Lonchura striata: one gene and its partners. The protein of the gene in region 1 binds, or shares a complex with, the protein of each later gene. Links are inferred from orthologs where the notes say so. Each region holds a gene or a part of one and is shown in the gene's direction. Other genes may lie near its edges.

What was found. The genes of interacting proteins can lie anywhere in the genome.
Region 2: RBBP7 (region 1) and CDK2AP1 share a complex: the UniProt entries of both Homo sapiens proteins name them as parts of the nucleosome remodeling and deacetylase (NuRD) repressor complex. The link is inferred for Lonchura striata from reciprocal best matches to the Homo sapiens genes RBBP7 and CDK2AP1.
Region 3: RBBP7 (region 1) and HAT1 share a complex: the UniProt entries of both Homo sapiens proteins name them as parts of the type B histone acetyltransferase (HAT) complex. The link is inferred for Lonchura striata from reciprocal best matches to the Homo sapiens genes RBBP7 and HAT1.

The regions. Positions count from the first base shown.
Region 1 is NC_134604.1:100,704,598-100,712,290, reverse strand, and holds the start of RBBP7 (histone-binding protein RBBP7), read left to right. Parts: upstream 1-4,683; 5' UTR 4,684-4,843; coding exon 4,844-4,859; intron 4,860-5,109; coding exon 5,110-5,254; intron 5,255-7,040; coding exon 7,041-7,183; intron 7,184-7,635; coding exon 7,636-7,693. UniProt on the Homo sapiens protein: Core histone-binding subunit that may target chromatin remodeling factors, histone acetyltransferases and histone deacetylases to their histone substrates in a manner that is regulated by nucleosomal DNA.
Region 2 is NC_134620.1:13,009,568-13,016,571, reverse strand, and holds the start of CDK2AP1 (cyclin-dependent kinase 2-associated protein 1), read left to right. Parts: upstream 1-3,987; 5' UTR 3,988-4,085; coding exon 4,086-4,293; intron 4,294-6,571; exon of another isoform or gene 6,572-6,614; coding exon of another isoform or gene 6,615-6,693; intron 6,694-7,004. UniProt on the Homo sapiens protein: Inhibitor of cyclin-dependent kinase CDK2. Also acts as a component of the histone deacetylase NuRD complex which participates in the remodeling of chromatin.
Region 3 is NC_134610.1:20,438,941-20,446,558, forward strand, and holds the start of HAT1 (histone acetyltransferase type B catalytic subunit), read left to right. Parts: upstream 1-4,601; 5' UTR 4,602-4,686; coding exon 4,687-4,693; intron 4,694-5,642; coding exon 5,643-5,714; intron 5,715-6,029; coding exon 6,030-6,105; intron 6,106-7,618. Other genes in the region: SLC25A12 (electrogenic aspartate/glutamate antiporter SLC25A12, mitochondrial), read right to left, coding at 2,188-2,241, 2,663-2,674. UniProt on the Homo sapiens protein: Histone acetyltransferase that plays a role in different biological processes including cell cycle progression, glucose metabolism, histone production or DNA damage repair. Coordinates histone production and acetylation via H4 promoter binding.

The DNA.
Region 1 (7,693 bases):
CTACAGCTCATGAGTTCCCACTACAGCATCCCCGTGGTGGGAGCAATGCCACCTAGAAGGTGCAAGAGGAATATTTGTCTACAATGCTGGATATAATCCCAGTGAGTCATGCTTTCTCCTAAGTACTGACATTCCCATAAATGCACTTTATTCAATGCAAAGCAAGAGCTGCCAATTGCACATGGCTGTGAAGCACACAGATGTTGCCCATCAGGATAAAACACAATCACAGCTATTTAGAAGTGAACTATTGGAGACGTGCTGTCATTAGGCAAATCCCAAACTGCATGTCCCAGAGAACATGTCCAAGACACAGCTATAGCTCAAGATCTTTTGTGACAGCAGGACATTGGCTAGGTGTGATTGATACTGGGGAGATGATAATTGCTGGGTAAATAAAAATAAATATTGGATGACCAGTGGGGAAAATAAACATGGTCACATTTCAAGAAATTCTGAGTGAATTAAAATGAAGTGTGCTTTTCTTATCTACATGTTTTAAGAAAATGAGGCATTATTCCAAACAGGCTACTGGGGCTATGCAATGACAGCAAACATGTTAGAGTATAATAACTATTGAGGCTGCTATTTTACGTTTCCAATAGGTAATTTTGAGTTTTTGTGCAAACTTGCTTTGCTTTACACAATTTTATGACTGAGATGGTCACTCACAGTAATACCTACACCTACTTGCTGAGTTATGCTAAGAACATCCATCACTTCTGCATAATGTATAAGAGACAGAAGCAACAGCAAGCCAGCTAATTCTTTGCAGAATGTCTTTAAGCTAAAACTAACAAGTGCATATAATTATTCATAAATATGCCTGTAATTTGAAGCAGAACATACAATTGAGGATGCAGGAGATGGTTTTTTACTGAAATGAAGATGCAATATTTGATGCTTAGGTTTGAAAGAAGTATAGCTCAATAAAAATAAAGCTTATGATTCAAGTCACTCTTTCACTTCAGAACTAATTTATGGTGCATTTTACACATACTGCAAATGATGAACAACAGCTTTGTGTAATTGCTTTCCTTACAAAGTGTGGGAATCAAAGGATATGTTTTAGATGTGTGGCCACAGATATGACCATGCCAATGAATTGCAAATAACCAACATAAGAGCCGATGATGTGCTGTCTTTGATAGATGTAGTGTTATAAATCATCTCTTCCATGATAAATCTCAACAGGAGAAGAGCACTTAATAACAGGATTTTTGGTGCACAGATTTAAATAAAGAAAAAATGTGGTTGTGTGCAAGTGTAATTGTTAACAAGGAGAAGAGAACTACGCTGGTCACTTACCAACCATTCTGACATCTAGATATAACAGGTTTTTTTTCACCAAAGCTAGCACTAGTTCTGGAGCCTATTACAATCAAACTTGATTTCCAGATCCTAAACAGAGTCAGCAAAAAATTGTGGAGGGTTGGGGAGCAATTCTTCACTTATAGTTCAGCCAAGCCCTACATGACATAATTGAACAATTTTATCCATCATATTTCAAAAGCAATTCACATTTTCCCTATTATACTCCAGGTAAGCTGTGGCCACAAATACTGCTGTTTACAGCAAAATCACAAAGAGCATCACAGCCAAATGCTTACACGTGCTTCATCTTTCAAGGGGCCACGTAATCACCCTTCTGGGGGAGCTAACAGAGGGCACTTAAAGCCAGGAAGCCTGACAGAGATTTCCTTTATCCATTATCTGAAGTTTAAGTGATCAACTCTCTGTAACAACACACAGGCTCTGAAAGGTTCAGTCTTCATTCTGAAAACGTTTTAGGAAGGCCTCAGCACTTCGTAGGAGTAGACACATTCTTGGCAGCAAACACCAAAGCATCAAGTAAGCAGTGCCAAAGGGAAGCTGGTGCCACATCTGGCAGGAGAAGGCTCTGTGTCTGTGTTAACTCGTGCACTCCTATGGAGCTGACTGCTGTACAGGTTCCGTGCAATTCAACAGGATTCTCATTTTAAACAAGTAAGCCATGCAAAGGTATAATTCCAATCTGTGTGGGTTACGGCGAAGATTAAGATATACTTATTTAACTTCACCAAAAGATTTATATTTTTTAACACACTGGTCAGAAAAGCAATGGTTTATTAGGGAAAGCTTCCAGTTGGAGGAGCTGGCTGCATTCCTTAGTCTTATTCCCTGATTCCCGTGCTGCAACCTTTGGCTGCTTATTAAGAGCCTCAGAGTCTCCTGCCTTTGCTAGACATAAACATTTTCCAGAACTGGATTCCTTGTTTGAAAAACTGGTGTCCAGACTCTAGAAGGCTGAGTCCATGAAGCGTGTTCTTTGAAATGCCAGTTATTATTTTTCTGTTTCCTTCTCTCTCCTCCCACCATCTATAGCTGAGCACAGTGAGCTCCACTACAGAGTTGATTTCTTTCCCTTCTGGGACTCCAGGCATATAAGCCTTAGTGATACAGGATTCATCTCTGTGAGTTTAACACTGATGCAAGGATTCATTTTAGAACTGTAATTTAAAACATGGCAAGAAAACACATGCTATTTGGAGACAAAAAGTTCTTTTGAATCTTTAAGGGCATTTGGGAGACTCTAACCTCATTCTTAACTGCCTCTGTTTCCATTGTTTTTCTGGAAAGTGTTATTAGCTGCCAGAAAGATCTACCCTGGTTAAGGCAAGCACTGTTAATTTAAGCTGAATTGAAAGCAGTAAAATTAAATCATAGAATCATAGAAATTAAATCATAGAATCATAGAATAGTTTGAGTTGGAAGGGATAGTTACAATGCCCCTGACCAGGGCACAGACACCTTCCACTAGACCAGGTTGCTCAGAGCTCCATCCAACTGGCCTTACACAATCTTTTACTGACAGCTGAAAGGAGAGATCAGCAAGGCTGGGCAGGCAGGGTGGTATGGCTGTATGTTTGATTTGGATGGTGACAGGGCCATATGTTTGATCTGTACATAGCCACTTAAACAAAGCCATGTCACTTGCCAGGGTATGAGACACCACCACTGACCCCATTAGAGAGTGACAGAATTTAAAACACTGGTAACACCAACTGATCCTGTGTGTCTGACAGTTCAGCAATGCAATTCAGTGCCTTCCATGCCAAAACTGCAATTAAAAATAGTTCAAACATGCCTTTCTTCTAGTAAATGGGGCAATATTCAGAACCATTGCTGAAAAAACTAACTATGCAGCTGTGGCCACTGTAACCATTCTTACTTACAGATTTACTTACCTGGTTTAGCGGAAGGTATCCCTGCCCAACAGGGTAGTTGGAATGAGCTAATCTTTAAGGTCCCTTCCAACCTAAGCCAATCGACCATTCAATAATTCTATAATTTCTAGTTGCGAAGGGGGATCAATATCCACGTTCTCAATGTGATTTAGGGCTCATTAGGTAAAACATACTTAATAGGTGTCCGGGGGCGCGCTGCTTTACCTGCAGCCCCACCTCGCGGCCACAGCGCAGCGCGGCCGCCTCCGCCTTCCCCGGCCCCGCCTTCCCCGGCCCCGCCTTCCCCGGCCCCGCCTTCCCCGGCCCCGCCTTCCCCGGCCCCGCCTTCCCCGGCCCCGCCTTCCCCGGCCCCGCCTTCCCCGGCCCCGCCTTCCCCGGCCCCGCCTCGCCTCTCCCGGCCCCGCCTCTCCCGGCCCCGCCTCACCATCCCCGGCCCCGCCTCGCCTTCCCCGGCCCCGCCTCTCCCGGCCCCGCCTCGCCTTCCCCGGCCCCGCCTCGCCTTCCCCGGCCCCGCCTCGCCTTCCCCGGCCCCGCCTCGCCTTCCCCGGCCCCGCCTCGCCTTCCCCGGCCCCGCCTCGCCTTCCCCGGCCCCGCCTCGCCTCCCCCGGCCCCGCCCCGCCTTCCCCGGCCCCGCCTCGCCTCTCCCGGCCCCGCCTCGCCTCTCCCGGCCCGGCCCCGCCTCTCCCGGCCCCGCCCCGCCTTCCCCGGCCCCGCCCCGCCTTCCCCGGCCCCGCCTTCCCCGGCCCGGCCCCGCCTCTCCCGGCCCCGCCTCGCCTCTCCCGGCCCCGCCTCATCTTCCCCGGCCCCGCCTCACCTTCCCCGGCCCCGCCTCACCTTCCCCGGCCCCGCCTCGCCTCTCCCGGCCCCGCCTCGCCTCTCCCGGCCCCGCCTCATCTTCCCCGGCCCCGCCTCACCTTCCCCGGCCCCGCCTCACCTTCCCCGGCCCCGCCTCGCCTCTCCCGGCCCCGCCTCATCTTCCCCGGCCCCGCCTCCGCCATCCCCGGCCCCGCCTCGCCTTCCCCGGCCCCGCCTCTCCCGGCCCCGCTTCGCCTTCCCCGGCCCCGCCTCGCCTTCCCCGGCCCCGCCTCTCCCGGCCCCGCTTCGCCTTCCCCGGCCCCGCCTCGCCTTCCCCGGCCCCGCCTCACCTTCCCCGGCCCCGCCTCACCTTCCCCCGCCTCGCCTTCCCCGGCCCCGCCTCGCCATCCCCGGCCCCGCCTCCCCCGGCCCCGCCTCACCTTCCCCGGCCCCGCCTCGCCATCCCCGGCCCCGCCTCCCCCGGCCCCGCCTCACCTCTCCCGGCCCCGCCTCACCTCTCCCGGCCCCGCCTCACCTCTCCCGGCCCCGCCTCGCCATCCCCGGCCCCGCCTCGCCTTCCCCGGCCCCGCCTCGCCTTCCCCGGCCCCGCCTTCCCCGGCCCCGCCTCGCCTCTCCCGGCCCCGCCTCGCCTCTCCCGGCCCCGCCTGGCCCGGCAGCCTTTTGGGGGCCGGGGGCCGTCCCCGCGGCACCTCGCCCTGTTCTCCCTCCTGCCCGCGCTCCCTCCCTGCTTTCCCCTTTTCCTGTCTCCTCCGTTTCTTCCTGCCCCCTGCGCTGCCTCCCGGCGCCGCCTCCCGCCCGACATGGCGAGCACGGACGGTAGGAGCCCCCTCCCTCCCCTGTCCCCGGCCGGGTGAGGTGTGGGGTGTGTGAGCCCGGGGATGGCGGAGCTGGGGCGCTCCGGGATTCCTCCCCGAGCAGCTTCCGCGGGAGGTGGCAGCGGGGATGGCCGGCTGCAGTTTTCGTCCCGCCGGCCGCCCCCGATGGCCCTGCGGGACCCCCACTCCTGTCCCGCCCCGGTAGAGCCCCGGCCCCCTCCACCCTCAGTTCATCCCTTCCCTTCCTGCAGTGCTGGAGGACACGGTGGAGGAGCGTGTCATCAGCGAGGAGTACAAGATCTGGAAGAAAAACACGCCCTTCTTGTACGACCTGGTGATGACCCACGCCCTGGAGTGGCCCAGCCTCACGGTGCAGTGGCTGCCTGATGTCAGCAGGTGAGAGACGGGAAGGTGCCGGGGAGGCGCTCGGCTCCTTTCCCGTCAACCGTGTGTGCTGAGTACCTTGAGGATAAAAACCATGCAAGACGAGAGCAATTTGGGTTACAGTTCTCTTTGTTATCTCGTAGCGCTTTATTTTGCTTGCAGGAAAAAGGTTACAAGTTGATATTTTGCCGAAGTCTAGATTAGCCTAGCAGAAGGTGTTGTGAGATGTGAACACAGAAATCTTTCTCAATTTATTTCTAAATAAGAGATCTTGTGTTCCTCTAGTGTTAATTATGATCGAGAAATCTATATATTAAATCAGCTCATTCTTAAAGACTGATTTTCTGCATGTGCACTAATATATACTGTTCTGTCCAAGGTATAGTATTAATAGTGCAGTATAAGCTTGATATCTTTTAAGTCTGGACTTACTTAAGAGACTATGCTAAAACTTGTTCTTTGCATCCTGGTTTTGTCCTTGGTTCATTGTTGAATTCACATGTTCAAATTTCCCATTCTTCCACATACCCCTGAAAAAATTGTAGTCTCAGTTTCATTTCTTAAAGAAGAATGAAGCTGGGGATAGAATCTGTTCATGTGCCAACTGCTACAGAACTTAAATTGTTGCAGTAACAACTCAGGGTTCCACTGAGGTGGTGGACAAGGACTGGTGTAATGTGGAATTAGGTTGATTTAAAAATACCTTGTGTGTAAGCTTAATGCAGTTATCAGAAGATGGTCTCTTTGTTCTGTAAAGTTCCACTTCACATATGGGATGTTTTACATGTTGGTTAGGTGATCACTTCATTTGGTGTACCAAAGTGTTTGGGGATGATGTTGAGAGATATGAGCCAAATAGTCATGGCGTGGAGAAAATGCAGTGGGGATTTGAGGGTGTGGAGCCCTTATGAGGAACACTTCTGCTTGCCTCGTATTTTGCAGATTGGCTTAATATTCAGTTTAAAACCTGGTATTTCCAATTATCCACTGTCAAAATATGTAAGCAATTTAAGGCAAGGACTGCCTCTTTGTATGGCATCTGACATGATGGGACACCTGTTCCTGATGCAAGTAAGTGCATGTGCATTGTGTTTCTTGTGTGGTTTGGTATTTTTTCCCTCCCCTCTACATTTAGAAGTGGTGTAGTAATACCTGTGGTAGTTTATGATTACCAAAATTATTCTGGGTTGTTTGGATTTGGGAAACATAATTAGTTTGTTGCATTCAAGAATGCAGAGGTTGCTTGGTTTTTACTGCTCAGATTTGTCCTTTCAGAGATAAATGGCACCATCCATCCAGCTGTTCACTTTTAACTAAATGTTGCATTCAACCACCAGTAGAGAAATTTGGTTCTAGTTCAGATAGCTGGTTAAAGCTCCTAATAGAAGTAACTAAAGTAGGTTGTCACTTGTCTCTTCAGGATTTATGTTTTATGGAAAGGAGTATTGATTGTTTCCTAAATCAATACTCTGAGACTCCAGGGAAATTAGACCAAAGTAGGTCTTGGTGTCTCCTTTAACTGCTGTGCAGACTCTTAACTGTGCCTTTCAAGTCACAGTGGCAATGTTAATGCCTTGTATTGTCACTCGAGCCTTGCTGGTTGTGTCTTTGGTTTGCTCATGGCAGAGTCCAGTTTGCTTTAATACACAAGTCTTTGCAGCAGAGGGGAGGATCTCTTGGGGAGTGTCTCTTTTCTAGCTCCCTGAAGAGGTTTGCATCTTTAGAGTTATTGATGCAAGCTACAGAACTTCTGGAACTGAGCACATAATTTTATTCCAACATTTATTATTCTAAACAGGCCAGAAGGAAAGGATTATGCTCTGCACTGGCTGATTTTGGGAACACACACTTCTGATGAGCAGAACCACCTGGTTGTTGCCAGAGTCCAGATTCCCAACAATGATCAGTTTGATGCTTTGAAGTCTGACAGTGAGAAAGGAGGTGGGTATGCAGCATTCTTAGGTTCTGTTTGAGCAGTATCATTACTGCTTTCAATTGTTCTAATAATGATATTCTAAGTTTATGTGAAATACAAAAGTGGACAAATACCAGTCCACACTAATTCTAGACAACTAAAAATAAGAAACTTTTTGTTTCAGAAGAGCTTAGTTAACATTCATATGCAATTCCTACTAGAATTTCTACCAGCTCTCAGTTGTGGTAAAAACTGGTACACATCTACCTTAAGTTAAAACTAAAGCTCTGAAAGAAGATTCTAAATATCAGAAGTGTTAAAGCTATTGTGTTACATGGTGTGAGTCTTTCCTAGTCTTTGCTTGTGTTTAATAAGGTGCTACCACTGTTTCTTAGAGTAGGGAAGATGCTGTGGAATGCTGTTTCAGTAGTCTTAAAATAATGGATGGGATAAACTGACATTTTTCTGACAACTGTAGAATATGGTGGCTTCGGATCTGTGACTGGCAAAATTGAGATGGAGATTAAAATTAACCA
Region 2 (7,004 bases), on another chromosome or scaffold:
GCTGGGAACATGTATTTTTATTCAGGATTAGATTGGTTTTGTGCATTTTGGTGAGGATGGGGCAGCAGGCAGCAAATATCAGCCAGAAAAGGCAGATCACAGAGGAGGGACTCCGAGGGCTGACAGCTTTCTCTTGGGAACAAAAAAAGCACGAGGGAAACTTAGTAGCATCAGCAGGAAGCAGTTGTGGGGAACAGAGACAGGAATGGAAGGAGCTGTAGCAAAGCGATAAGAAAGGAACAGCACTGATGCCAAAAAAAGCATAAAATGCACAATTTTCCTTCTGTGCCAGGGTCCCAGACTGCCCCAGGGGCTTGCTGGGTGTCCTGGGGAAGGAAGGGTTCTGCACCAGGAGCTGCTGGCTCATTACAATCCCAGTGAGAAAGGTACTCAGCTCTGCAAAGCATCTTTGAAAATGCTGTTTGTTAAAGCTGACACTCACATGCCTCTATCACGCTTTCCACAGAGGTTAAACCTTGCCTTCACTCAAGACTTAAAAAGCTTAATTTTCAGTCTAGGCCTACCAGAGGCTTTTCATTTTGTGTAGCACCTGATCGGTTTGGAGACTCAAAGATTAAACTGGTGCTCATCAACTTGAAGCTGCATCTGTGGTTATTTTATGTACGAGGCTGGATCACCAGAAATGTGAGGATAAGCATTTGAATATAAACTCCCTCTAGGAAAAGGAACAAACTTCCCACTTCTTTCCCCTTGGTGCTACATGGGGCTCTGTGGTGGGTAAAGGACAGTTAGAATATCCCCAAGTCACTCAATTAATTAAGCCTGATAACAATTAATTACATTAAAATTAATGCGCAAATTTAATGTTTTACACATGTCAAAGACATGCCAGGAAAAAAAGAGGGTCTTACTGTGCCATCTTTAATTCTTTTCATTGTTGGTTTAACCCAAGGTGATAAGGAACAAGCCTAGTTTGTGCTCCTCATTTGCAGGTCCCCATGAGTGTTACAGCACGGCTCTGTGATGACTATTTCGTTTTGTTTCCAGATAAAAGGGGACAAACAAGTTTGTTTCACAGCATGGCCCACGGCCCTGTGGCAGAGCTGCCAGCACCTTCCAACATCCCACTTTGCATGTGTATTCCTTACACCCTCGCCCAGGGCCATGGCACCGACCCACAGAGCTTTGGAAAGGGAAAACCTCCTTCAAATCAGTCACAGCGCTGCCTAAGCAGGGGCTGGAGGCAAACTCTGTGGAAATATTGGCTGCTCAGTATTCCCAGTGGTTTGGGAGGAGCAGAGGTGAGGAAGTCAAACCAGGAGAGGGAAAAGAGAAAATAAAATACCAAGAGAAGAAAGGGGAGGGGAACAGAGTGAATGTTGCAGATATTGCACAACTCAGAAGAGGCAGCTGTACCTGGAAAATACATCATCAGTGCTTCTTGTAGTGGCTGAAGAGACAGGCACACATTCCTGTCCATCCTCTCTTGTGGGAAAACAGCAGTTCACACGTTTATTTTTAAGTTGCATTTTAGCGTGCAGCAGGCTTGCAAATGTCACCTGTGTGATAAAATGGCTCTGCTGTGTTTCCTGCTCTGTGACTTGGCCACTTGGTGATGAAGAGCTGCTTTTGCTGTCAGCGAACACCACCGAGCCATCAGGCTGCAGAGCAGGGACCTGCAGCTTGCTGCACACAGCCTGGGAGCTGGAGCTGCCACACTCGAGGCACAGTTTGCATGTGCAGAGCACAACTCCAGCGGTGCAGCCCAGCTTGGGCCATCAAACAAGGTGAAACCGCCCCTCCAAGGGAGCTCGACTCTGTGGTCACCCTGCTGAGCAGCCAGCCCAGGGCCCGAGCACGACAGTGGTTTTGTTCTTGTGGCCACACCTGGTTCAGAACAACTGCAGTGAGCCCTCAGAGCACACGGCAGATGGGAAGAACTTGCAGGTACTTCCTACCCTGCAGTGAGTGCCAAAAAAATAGAGTAAATTAATCTTAAATAGAGTCTGAGGCCGAGCAGTAAGTTTGTCCTTTATCAGGGTCTTGTGTCTTGTGCCACCACTGCTACCTGTGCCCAGAAAACTGCAGAGCAAACATCAGATACCCAGATCTGACACTGCTGGGCTCCTGCTTACAGGACAAATGATGCTGCCCTGCATGCCTGAGCATCTCAGCAAGCCTGGCCCTCACACCTTGCTCCAAAGATCACAGTGCCTTGTGCTGAAGGAAGAATAATCTTTACAGGACTTTTTCCACATCACCCTGCCTCCCCCTTGGAATATTGTAAATTTTGGAGCTGTCTTTATAAAACGCAAGCAAAACACAGGGGATCTTGTTCTTCACAGTGTTGCTCTGAGCACAGTTTTGTAGAGTTGGTGTAAAGCCGTGAAAAACACGGCAAGCTCGGAGTGTTCCCATTTCTCACTCACTTGGTGTGACTGTAAACAACCACATGATGGAAAATCCCGGAGCGGTGTGCAGGACTTTGCTGGCCTTCCAGGATTCAACAGAAAGGCTGTTATTTACAAATCTGGAAGTGAAGCTTTAGGTTTGCAGAGTTCTCACTCACACGGTGAGGGTTTACCAGTGCAGTCTTTCAGGGCTCTAAGAAGAATTACACAGTTGTAATCACAAGCACCAATGTGAAACTACTGTCACTGAGCGTGTAATTCTGTGCCTGGGGCTCTCAGGACCCCTCTCTAATAGACCAGAGCATGGATCAGTTGTAAGGACAGTCAGTGCCAGTCTGGAATTCGCCAGGATCGCTGGAGTCAAGCATTTGGTCTGGAAATAAAATACAAAGGTATTTCATCTGGTACCAGTCAGAATTTTCAGATGTTTCTCTCATGCAGTGCACAGTCAGCAGGGCATGAGCCAGGGGCTCAAAGGCTGCTCCTCTTTTCCCATTCTCCCTCGATTCTCCTTTATGCAGAGGAAATAATCTGATTGCTCTGTGACTGTTTCCGTGTCTCTGTGACGGAGGTGTTACCTGCTTCCCTCTGCAGGGCCGTCCACTCTGGGCCTGAGTCAGTGTCACTGACGAGGAATGTGCCCCTGATTTCCAAAAGGCATGATCAGGCTCTCCGTGTCTGCTGTCACTGGCATTTAGAGCAGTATGAAGCCATGGATAGACATTAAGTAGCACATGAGGCAGCGCATGCAATAAAACTATCAGATCTCAGAGTGGCTGCTGGTAAAATATACATGGGGGTCTGATATGGGGGGGTCTCAGGCTGAGCTGTGCACCTAAGGAGAGAGAATGTCCAGATCCCAAGTAGTTTTGTTTGGATAAACCTGGAGTAACTGAACAATTTTCGAGTGTATTTGATATTAATTGACTGAAGGAGCAAACCTGAATATCTTGCAGTGAAAAGGATGAGTTCTGATGGCAGACGCATGCTGGAAAGCTTCGTCATTTAACCTGATTCTTTTAAAAATTTTGGTGGGGAAGTTTTACTGCTGCTAGCAAGCAGAAAATGTGCCGATTGTCAACGAGATCCATGTTCTTTTAGTCCCTCAGAAGCTGCAATCCACATTAACCTTCCACCTTCAAGCAGAAAGAACTAGTGGTTTGGAAAAAAAAAAAAAAAAAAAGAAATAATAAAAAGGGCAGGTTTTTTCTCGGCGGCATCTAGGGGGGTGGGTGAGAGAGAGAGAAAAAAAATTATTTAAAAATTATCAACAGGTATTTTCGAGGTTGGCGGGGGGATGAGCGCGGGGTGAACGCCCGCCCTGAGGTGAGGGGGAGGCGGGAAGGCGGCGGCGCGCGGGCCGCCCTGAGGGACGCCCGGGGCTGACAGCGGCCGCCGCCCGCCGCGGGCACAGCGCGGCCAAACCCGCAACTTGTGCCAAAACTTTCCGAAGTTAATTAAAACATCCCCCCCCCGCCGCCCCGCGCCGCCGCCGGGCTCCGCGCCGCCGCCGCCGCCCGCCCCGCTCCCTGCCGGCGGTCCCTGAGGGGAGCTCCATTGTCTGTGAGGGGATGGCCGCGCACCCCCGCCGCGCCCCCGCCCGCCGCGCCCCCGCCCTCCGCGCCGCCGTGCGCGGGGCGCCGGGCGGCCGCGGCGGGTGGCTGCCGGCTCTCCCCCAAAGTTTTTGGATCCGCGTCTCCTCATGATGTATGGATGATATATTGCATTGTGGGTGTCAATATAACTGACGGCCATATTTGCCGGTGCTGCTACTGCTGTAAACAACCCAAAGTGTCTGGGAGACACGGAGACGCTTCGCTGAATTTCAGGACGCTTCTCCTCCTCCCGCTGGCCATGTCTCTGGGAATGTCTTACAAGCCCAACTTGAACGCCCACATCCCCGGGACTCCCCTCAACCCGGGTAAGTGCGCGGCGGCAACTGGGTGGCAAGTTTGGGAGGCGAGCGGCGGGTGCCGCACCGGCACCTGGGGGAAGCCCCGGACTCGAGTTTGTGCCCAGTCCGGTATGGCGGGGCAGCGGCTCCGCGCCGCCATTACCGCGCCCGCCCGCCCGCCGGCCGGCGCCGCCAGCCCCGCTCCGCGCCGCCCCCGCGCCGGGCTCCGCGCCCGCCCGGCCCCGCGCAGCGCCGCCGCCGCTCCGGGGCTCCGGCCGCCGGGTTTCCTCCATGCTCGGCTCCCCGGGGCGGCTGATTGATCTGGATCAGGAATATTCCGGCGGCGCCTCAGCGAGGACCGCTGCTGGCGGGACGCCGCAAGTGCGGCCGCTCGCCCCGCGCCTCGCCTCGCGCCTCCTCCGGCGGCGGGGCCGCCCCGGGCCGCGCTCCGCGGGCCGCGGGGAGCCGCGGAGCCCCGACCTCCGCCGGCGCCTCGGGGCGACCCTCGGTCAGCGCTGCCCCGTCGGAGCCTCCCCCGCATCCCGAGCGGAAGAGCCCTCTCCGCTCGCTGGAGACTTTTGGGGATGGGGGGGCACACAGGGATTGCACTATTTCTTAAAAAACTCCTGTTTAAAAATCGCTCCTCATCCTTGGATTTGTACAGGAGTCCTGCCAACTTTCCTCTTTAAAAAGTTTCCTTGACAGCGTTAACTTTTTGCCTTTTTTCTTTTTTCTTCCTTTTTAAACTACGTTGCCCCGTTTTTCTCCTCCCGATTTCCGAAGGCATCAGCCGGCGGGTTTTTGCCGGTGCTGTGGTGCTGCTGTGCATCGGGTCTCCGTGTGCGAATCGGTGCAGCCTGAACAAAGCCGCAGCAGCAATTGCTTCGCTGTGGGATATTTGGAGGGGATCTCGCTAATCTGTGCTCGTCGGCTCCGATTAAACCGCACCAAAATGGAGAAGTTGGTTCTGACTTTAAAAATTCGTATTCGTCTCCCATGCCCGCAGCCCAGCCTGCAGGACTGGCATCAATCAGACAGCCACAAATCAGACTGATTTTTTTTTTTTTTTTTTTCCCTGAGAAAAAGTTTTGGAGTTAGGTTTAGGAGGGAGGGAAATGTGTCTGTGTGATTTTTACGGCACCGTTAGCGGTTGTGATCCTGGGAAGCTGAGGAGCGAAAGGGATCTCCGGGATGCATCTCTGTTCTAGCTACCAGGAGAGCAGCAATCGTATTTTACTGCAAGGACTCGTCACCAGCTGGTGGATGAGCCGATGTGGCTGTGCCACCTCGATCCTGCATGGAGCTGAGCTCGGTGGGGCTGCGAGGGTGCAAAGCTCGGGGAGCCGGGGTCGTGTGTGGGGAGCACCGTGGGGCTCGAGTGCTGCTCTGCGGAAGGGTCAGGGAGCAGGGGATGTGCCGAGGATTTCTGACAAAAAGCAGAAGTGTCACCGGAGGGGGGAAAAAAAATTAAAAAAAAGAAACAAAGCAAAGCCCAGCAAGGGAAACCGTTCTCCTGCCGGCTCCCACGAGAACCTGTGCCTTGCTCTCCGGAACAGCCGTAAAATTGCAGGGAAAACAAAGGTGGTATTTTGCGATGGTGGGTGAGGGGTGGGGATTAGGTCATGCAGTGGAGGGGATCCGAGTCTGGCTGCTCTGCGAGCAGGGACTGCAGAATCCCGGCTCAGACATGCCGCGCACAATGCGAGCCGAGCGGTGAAGTTTCTGTCTCCAGCCCTCTCGCTGCCGTGTCTGCGCTTTCCACCGCTCCGGCTTTGGATTCTTTCATGCAGTTTTATCTTCCCCTTCTCTCCCACCCTCCTTTTCCCCTTGTATCGGCAAGTTAGCAGCAGTTTGCTGTCATGCTGGAACTATTCTTGTCTAAGTTGTCCTCTCTTCTGAGTTCGGATCATCCTCAACACCCCCAGAATCTTTTCAATGAAAGAACGTCCTCCTCTGAATCCAAAATGGGCTCTCTCTTCCCTCCCTGTCTTCTGCCATTATCCTCACGCACCAGCTCTTCCTCTAGCTAGTGGTATTGCCAGCACCGTGGCCTAAGGCCAAGGGACTTAGACAAAGCAGTCCTTGCAGTTGCACATATCGCATTCAGAGTGATATGACTGCAAATGGCCCCCTCCTTTCTGGAGCTTAATTCTGATTTGGAGGAGATTGCCTCTCTATTGTGCCTAAATTAAATGCCCCCCAGCCAGGAGGATAAATCCTAGGTTTGCTTCCAAAATTGGGGTGGAGGACCCCCATCCCCTACCTCCCCCCCACAGCCCTGCAGAGGAGAGGAAAACAGGAAATCTGTCCCTTTTGGCCTGAAATCAGCCCTGCAGAAACCTCTCTATATGAATGCTGAATTTTTTGGGCTTGGCCGACGGAGGGCTCTGGGCAGCTGTGGATCTCACAGGGATTTTCCTCTGGGAGGTAATGCTGCTTCCCTGCAGTGCAGGGCTTCTGGTGGAGTATTTGGGAAGGCAGTGTCGACTCAGCTCTTGGAGCCGTGTCCTTGCTGCAGAGCAAACTCCTCTCAAGTTGAGGCTGAGAGTAGCCACTCTGCAAAATGATACTTAAACTGCACATCAGTGAGATGAAGCAGTTGTGGTTGGTGGGTGCCTGGGCTCTGTTCTTGCATGGGAGCATGTTTTGGGAATCCAATCCTGGACTGAAGTCCAGAGGGAGAGGAGCTGGATGTGGGGGAGGAAATACAGGGAGGAAACCTCCGTGGGTTGTCGGCA
Region 3 (7,618 bases), on another chromosome or scaffold:
TTTCTTACTCAAGTCTATGGTTAGCAAACACCTAAAAGGTAACTTATTTGATGGTGCACAGACATGAAATTTCAGTGCCTGCATTTCATAGTTAAAGGATTAAGAGAAATAGCACATCTTTTTAATGCAAATCAAACTTTATCTTTTTAACAGTTTAAAACAATTAGAAGAAGCAGATAGCACACCTCAAAAATTCTGAAGAGAAAGGTATATACTCAATGTCCTTTAAGATACAAGGTACACTGCACGGCGAGAGGGCACGTATCCCATTAGAAGACGTGCATGAACAGAAGGAAATCTAAGGAGACTCTCTATGATTAAGGTGGATGGTGACGAGGCCTAGAGCTCACATCTTCCCTTCTAACCATTTCCAAGGGAAGCCAAATTTAGGAAGGAATGCACGACCTTTAGCTGAAGTTCAAAGAAGAGACCAGCACTCTCAGCAAGGAGTACAACATATCTGACCCCTAAACACTTGCAATATTTCATAACAAGACTTTCTGCAACTCAGTCTTGAAAAGAATGATTCTCCTTTGTTTTAAAGTCTGCAAGTAAGTTTGATTTCTAAGCATAAAAAAAACCCACAATTTCAAACTCAACAAAACATAGAAGAAATACAAACTCTTTTTTCTATGCCTTTTTTTTACTGCAAAATCTCACATACTCAAAGAGAGAGAGGAGAGCTTCTTATTTTTCATTTCTCAGAATATCAAACAATTCACAACTTCATTTGCATGTTTCTTTGAAGAAAACAAGACAGCCATGGGGGAAGCCTTTTATTTTTAAACAAACTGTCTGGTTTTAGGTCAATAAAACACCAGCCAGTGATACAATGTTCTTCCTCTCTGCTGTTGTCTGTATGACCACTATCAAGAACTTAATTTCCCTATTTCCAGAAGCAAGAACTTCTACTGACTGGATGTCAAGAATCATAAAGAATTCACATTTACAACTGAATAATGTTTTGACACCTCATTTTACTGTTTTTCATTCAAATGTGCAAAAGTATTTTGCGAAAAGGTGGAAAAACACGTTCTAGAATCACATTTTTATACTGTATTAATATATATTTTAAAAGATAATACTTTTATGTCACTAATTTTAGTAACATACTCTAGTGTAATCTTTACCTACAAAAGCTGAATGCCATGTCAATCAAAAATGAACCTGTGTTGGAGTATCTTTTACTAGAAACTAAATGTTGAGCTTCCACAGTTTGATGCCAGCATTCTAAGTATTTGCACTCCAGCAATGTCATAGTGTAATCCAGTATGCAAAAGAAAAGGCCACCAAAATTACGGCTGGGATGCAACTCCTCTCTCTCAGGCAAAAAGCTCTCTCTGACTACTTATCATATACGGAAATTGCTAGATGGTATAGTAGAACCAGAAGATACATATAAATAGTTAAATAACAGACTTTATTATTTACAGTATTAACTCTAATTTTATAGTCCTAAATTTTTAAATAGAGAAAAGCTTCCTAAATATGCTGTGTAACACTCAACATTAGGGAAAAAAACATATTTTAGTCATTTTGAAATATTGGTGGCCCTATTATGGACCTAAAACATAGTTCTTGTTCTTCTTATTATTCCATATGACTGATTCAAACTTTATCGTTAAAGTTTTAGGATTGACTGGATCAATATCCTAAAGTTTCTGATTTTTTTCCTTTCTGATCGCACTTTAGTGAAACTAAGGGAATGGAGAAACCTTCATGCTATTATTTATGTATGCTAATTCTAAGGCCCTGCAAGGGATAATATTGCAAGACATATTAATAATGAGAAATCAATTTTAAGTTCTAAAAACACTCCTAGTGGTCCAACCATTTGCATGAACATATATAAATCCCAAGGACAAAACATACAGTCGTGGAAGAAAAATTTTTTTGATTCTGCAAAGGTGCATTTAAAAAAAAAACAGCACTTCATTATAATTATATGCTTTATAGAAAATTAGAAAATAGTTCAGGAGCTTATTTAATATGGTAATTTGGAAATGGTTATCACACTTTTTGCCAGCAGCAGGTTCTCCTCAATGCCTGACACCCCGTCAATACACTACGCCTGCAAAGTGAACTTATAAGTGTGCCACCAGCACGACACGAGTCTGATGCCACGGTAAACTGCTGAAAGAGCAAAACACCGAAGTCCGACACTCAAACAACATTAGATCTTTTTACCTGCAAAAAAATATTCCGTAGTTCAGCGGGATCCGCTCTTTTGGTTGAATGCACCTGTAAACACAAGCAAATGAATGCTTCGCTTAGGCGGGCTGCTGTCAGATCGCAGAGCAACCCGCCGCGCCGGCCGAAGGCGGCAACACGGCGTCCCTCGTCAGACCCACAGGCCCAACCTCAGCCGCGACCGCGCCGCGCCGCCGAGGCACGGCACGGGGCTCCGCGCCGCTGGCAGCTCTCAGCACGGCGCTGGCTGCGAGCGGCGCCCGGCCCCGCAGCACGACCGCCGCCGCTGCCCCGGGACCCCGGCCCGCGCCCCCCGGGGCACTCCGGCGGGCGGTGCGCCGCCGCTCCCCCGGGGCCGCCCCGCCATCACCGTTCCCCGGCCCCCGCGGGAATCCCGCCGCCCGCCTGCCCCCGGCCCCACGCGGGATCCGCCCGGCTCCTCCTGCCACCAGCGGCGGAGCGGGAGAGTCACCTTGACCGCCATGCTGCGCCCGCCGAGGAGGAGGAGCCAGCCGCCCGCCGCCCGCCGCGCCGCCGCAGCACCGCCGCCTCAGCGCGGCGCTGTGGGGAGAGCGCCCTGCCCCGCCCCGCCCCGCCCCGCCCCGCCCCGCCCCGCCCCGCCCCGCCCCGCCCCGCCTGTGGGTGCGCGGAGCGGGAGCCTGGTAGCGCCTCCACAGTGCAAAACGGGGCCTCTGAATGCTGCCGAGTCTCCTTGTGGCGCAACACATGCAGCCGTGTCCCTGAGGGTCAGCAGAGGTGTGCGTGTACCTGTTGGTTTCAGGTACCGAAATTGTTCATAGGCTGGTGTTCTGGCAGCTTGGCTGCAAGTCGGTTGTAGCTCTCTATTTCAAACATAGAGCTAGAGGCCCAAAATCCGGCTGAATTCACTAACTTCTTACAAGGTCTTATAATCCTTTATCAGCAGAGCACACATATGCTTTATACTTAAAAATAAAAAGCATGCAGGCCGAAGTCTTAAGAAAGGGAAGGTTTATACCTTATTCCAGCAGTTCAATCATGGTGCTTATAAAACCTGATTTAAATAATACTTCATACTATGTCTTGCTGTGCTATTTCAAGGGCACAACAAATTGTCTTTTATTAGATGGCACTGGAAAAAGGTAGATTCTGGTACTCCTCAAATAGCACAGAGAGATATTAAACTAAATACAGTAACTGGTAGCTTACAATGGTGGTCAGAAAACAGTGACTCAAGTTTAAAACAACTTTCCTCTGGTAAACAACATTTTAATTACATGTCAAAAAAAAGGTTTTCTTAAGAGTTCATATACTACATATATGCCTATGTCCCAGCTGACAGCAGAAGTTTTGCTAGAAATCTTGCCTATTTGGTAAGCATCTGACCACCCAAGTATGTTGTTCAATAAAGCCATATGTGTACATGCTTAGCTGCAGGGTGTTATGGTTTACCCTAGCCAGCAGCCAAGCCCCACACACTCACTCACTTGTTCCCCCACCAGCAGGACTGGCGAGAGAATTGGAAGGGTAAAAAGTAGAAAACTCATAGGTTGAGAGACAAGCAGTTTAATAGGAAAAGCAAAAGCTAGGCAGACAAGCGAAGTAAAATCAGGAATTAATTCACTGCTTCCCATGGGTAGGAAGGTGTTCAGCCATCTGCAGGATGGCAGAGCTTCATCACCAGTAGTAGTTACCTGGGAAGACAAACATCATCGCCCCAAACATCCTCTCCCTTCTTCTCCTCACTTTATAGACTGTGCAGGATGCCATCTGGTCAAAAATATCTCTTTGTCACTTAGGGACACCTGTCCCAGCTGTGTCTCTTCCAACCTTTCATTCAGCCCCAACATCCTTACCACCATGGCAGTACTGGCTCCATGTACGCCCTGCTCAGCAATAACAAAAATATCTGTTCAGCACAAATCCCAGAAAACACGGAATAAGCTGAGTTGGAAGGGACCCTCAAAGATTGAACCCACCACCCCCACACAAGCCAGTGTGAAAAGTAATTCTACCCCTGTCCAAACCAGCACAGCAACTCCCACTGTGCATCAAAAGCCAGGTCTCTGAAAGAAAACGGCAGAAATCCCACAATAGCTGCAACAAGCAGTTCAATATAGAGAGTTTTATTTTTTTACTAATGACAGAGCTCCGGCTGTTTGCTCGGCCAAAGCGTAACTGCAGCAATGAGCAGCGAGGTCTGAGAGTGAGGAAGGAGCCGGCAGCCGCAGGGTCCGCGACGCGCGCGGAGCCGCCGCACGTGACAGAGGCGCGAGCAGCTCTGCGCACGCGCGCCGGCCGGCCCGCGGTCTGGGGTGGGCGGGGCGGGGCGGGGCCGGTCACGCGAGCCAGCGCGAGGCTCGAGGCGGTGCCGGGCATGCGCGCAGGCTGCGCGCGCCGCGCGGGGCAGCTATTGGCTCCACGCCGGGTTTCGGCGGGCGGAAGCGGAAGCGCCTGCGCGCGCTCTCATTTCCGGCGGGCGGGCGCGCGGGTTGAGTCGCGGCGCGGGGCTCGGCCATGGCGGGTGAGTCCCGGCCCGGGAGCGGCAGCGGGGCCGGTCCCAGCCTCGCCGGCACGGGCAGGAGAGCTTAAGCTCGGAGCCGGCGGATGCGGGCGGACGGGAACAGGCTGTGAAGGAGGGGAGCCCCTCTGCCCCTCTGCCTCTCTGCCGCCTGACTGCCATGGTCCTGCTCCTGCGTGTCTGCGGGCTTATGGCCCCCACGGTCTGGTAGTGTTAGACCAGAGAGTGTGTCCGTGGCCACGAGTGTGCTGGCGGTGGGCAAAGAGCTAAAAACCCGAAAGTGTTTTTACTTAAAGTTTGCTGCCTGAAGTAAGATGCAGAAGAACTTTCTTATGGCCCTTTGAAATGAAGCGGGGGTTATGTTTGTGAAGCACTTGGAACATACCTGAGGTGAAACGTGTCTTCTGGCCTAGATTAGGCTTTGGAAATCACATGAAATACAGTGCATTTATTTGCGTTTTTCTTCCACATCCGTTCCGGAAGAGTAGTGCTGGTTAAATAATTGCTAGTGGTGTACATGCCACTGTAGTTCATTAATAGCAGTTTATGAAACTGACTTAATGCAAACACTTGAAGTGTGTTGACACGTGTTATTTATAACATGTTATACTGAATTCTTATTCAGTATTGCATGTTATAAGTAGCACATATGAAATATATATTTAATTTGTAGTAACTTAGAATACTTAATATTTTTATGGTAATGACTTTAATTCTCAGAAACTAAAATGAGATACTTGTATGTTTTCTAATTCCAGAAGAGTGTGTGAGACAGCTCTCTTTATCCTCTGTATTGATGTGTTGTGGCATGTTGTAGCTGTTTTAATCTTTCTTGTTTGGTGGTCTCGTGTTAAGTGTTTTTTCTTGGTTTATGACCCTTTTTCTAATATATTTTTTGAGTAATAATGACAAAGAGATTGGACACCTCTTAAAAAAATCTCTTTTTTTTCAGGACTTACTGCTATGGAGAAGAAGCTGGCTGAATACAAGTGTAATACAAATGAGGCGATTCAGCTGAAGCTAGGTAATACCACTTTTTAAATATTATACAAGTGATACTGAAGTATTCTGGTGTCTTTCTGTGAAATAGATACATGTATACATCTGTGTCAGTTTCTCAGTCCTAGTCTGATTACTGATTTGATACTCATAGGTCAAGTAACATGAATCCAAATTGTATAGGATGCCTTGATATCATTTGTATGCCACTCTCACATAGTTTCTTAACTAAAGTTGTCTGACTCTAGTGGAAAGGTGTGTGAACAGCTCGCAGGGCTTCTGTGGATAAACAGATGAAAGGTGGTGACTTGGTCATGCTCTCTTCTTTTTATTTTCTCAGTTCGCTTTCCTGAGGATTTGGAGGATGAGAACACAACATTTAATCCAGAGTACAGCCATCAAGTGTTTGGAGATGAGTAAGTCAAAGTTTCCAGATTTAAACTAATAGGTCCCAAAGGACAAATTTGTTTCCAAATAATTAAAAACCATAACATTTTGCTAATATGGAGTGCAAGATAAGAAGTGCTGGCCTGGTGCTGCTGCTACATTTACTGGCACAGGATAGGACGCCTCTGGCCTTCGTGCACCTGGGCACACGCTGGCTCACTCGTGTTCAGTCAAGTGTCGACCTGCACCCCCAGCTCCTTTGCTCTGTTCTTCCCCAAGTCTGTCACTTGTGACCCAAGTCCAGCAGTTCAGCACTCCTGTCCAGCCTAGTGTTGACTGCAGCTGACTTAGGGAGCATTCAGATCACTGATAAGACATTAAATGGGACTGTCACTGAGCCCTGGGGAACACCACAGGGGAACAGCTGTCGGGTGCATTTGACTCCATTCCCCACCACTCCTTGGGCATGGCCATCCAGACAGTGAAGAATGCCCCTGTTCAGGCCATGAGCAGCCAGTTTCTCCAGAGGAATGCTGATATCAAAGTCTTCCCTAAAGTGTAGGTGAAAAAGTATTGTTTCTTTTATTTTGAGCATGCTGAATTAATTAGTGCTGAAGTGTCATCTATTATTTTCAGTAGAGTGATATTCAACAATCTGGCCATAGATTTAAAAAAAACCCAAAACAAACAAACAAAAAAAAACAAACAAAAAACCCCGAAACAAACCTAAAGAGAATCCACCTGTATGTTTCTGTGGACTTCAAGTAGTTGTGTTTCTTAATTTCAATTTCCTTTTGAAAGCATTCTTAAGTACTTCAATTAGAATGAAATACCTGTATTAAATGTAATAAATTTGTTATACCAATAGCATCATTGACAATAATTATAATTTTAGTAATCAGAGAATTCTCCAATCTGTTAATTTAGCTAAGAAGGAAATTCTTCTGGCACTTAACATTTCAAATTTTAAATTATGAATGTACTACCATAAAAGAAAAATCCCAGTAAAAAAAAAGTTTCAGCTATGCTTCAACAACAACAACAAAAAAAATTGGCCTGTTTCTTTGTGAACATTACTATTTTCTGCATGTGTTTTCCAGAAAAGAAATTCTCTATTCTTCATAAGAGTATCGAATTTGTGTTCAGGCAGCTCGTATTTTCAAACTGTAAAAAAGGCTTTTGTATTCTATACTTCTTTTTGCAGGTACTAATTTCTGGTTAGATTGGATAACTAAATAGAAACTGTCAACCAAAAACTTCACAAATTGCTACACCTGGTTATCTGTGCTTTGTACATTATAGATTGCAGTCGTTTACTCCAAAATATTATACTACACTGCAAAATAATTTTTAATAAATATTAGCAATCAATTAATGTAAATAACTGTTAATGAGTTAAAGCTGTTGAAAAAGCATAAACACAGTATGAGCTGTATTCTTTCCTGTCACAGTAAGGACACAGGCACTGCCTTACTGAGCTCAGAGTATTTCCTCTAGAGGAGCGAAATAATAGAAGCAGTGTAAGGCATTACCTCTGTCTGT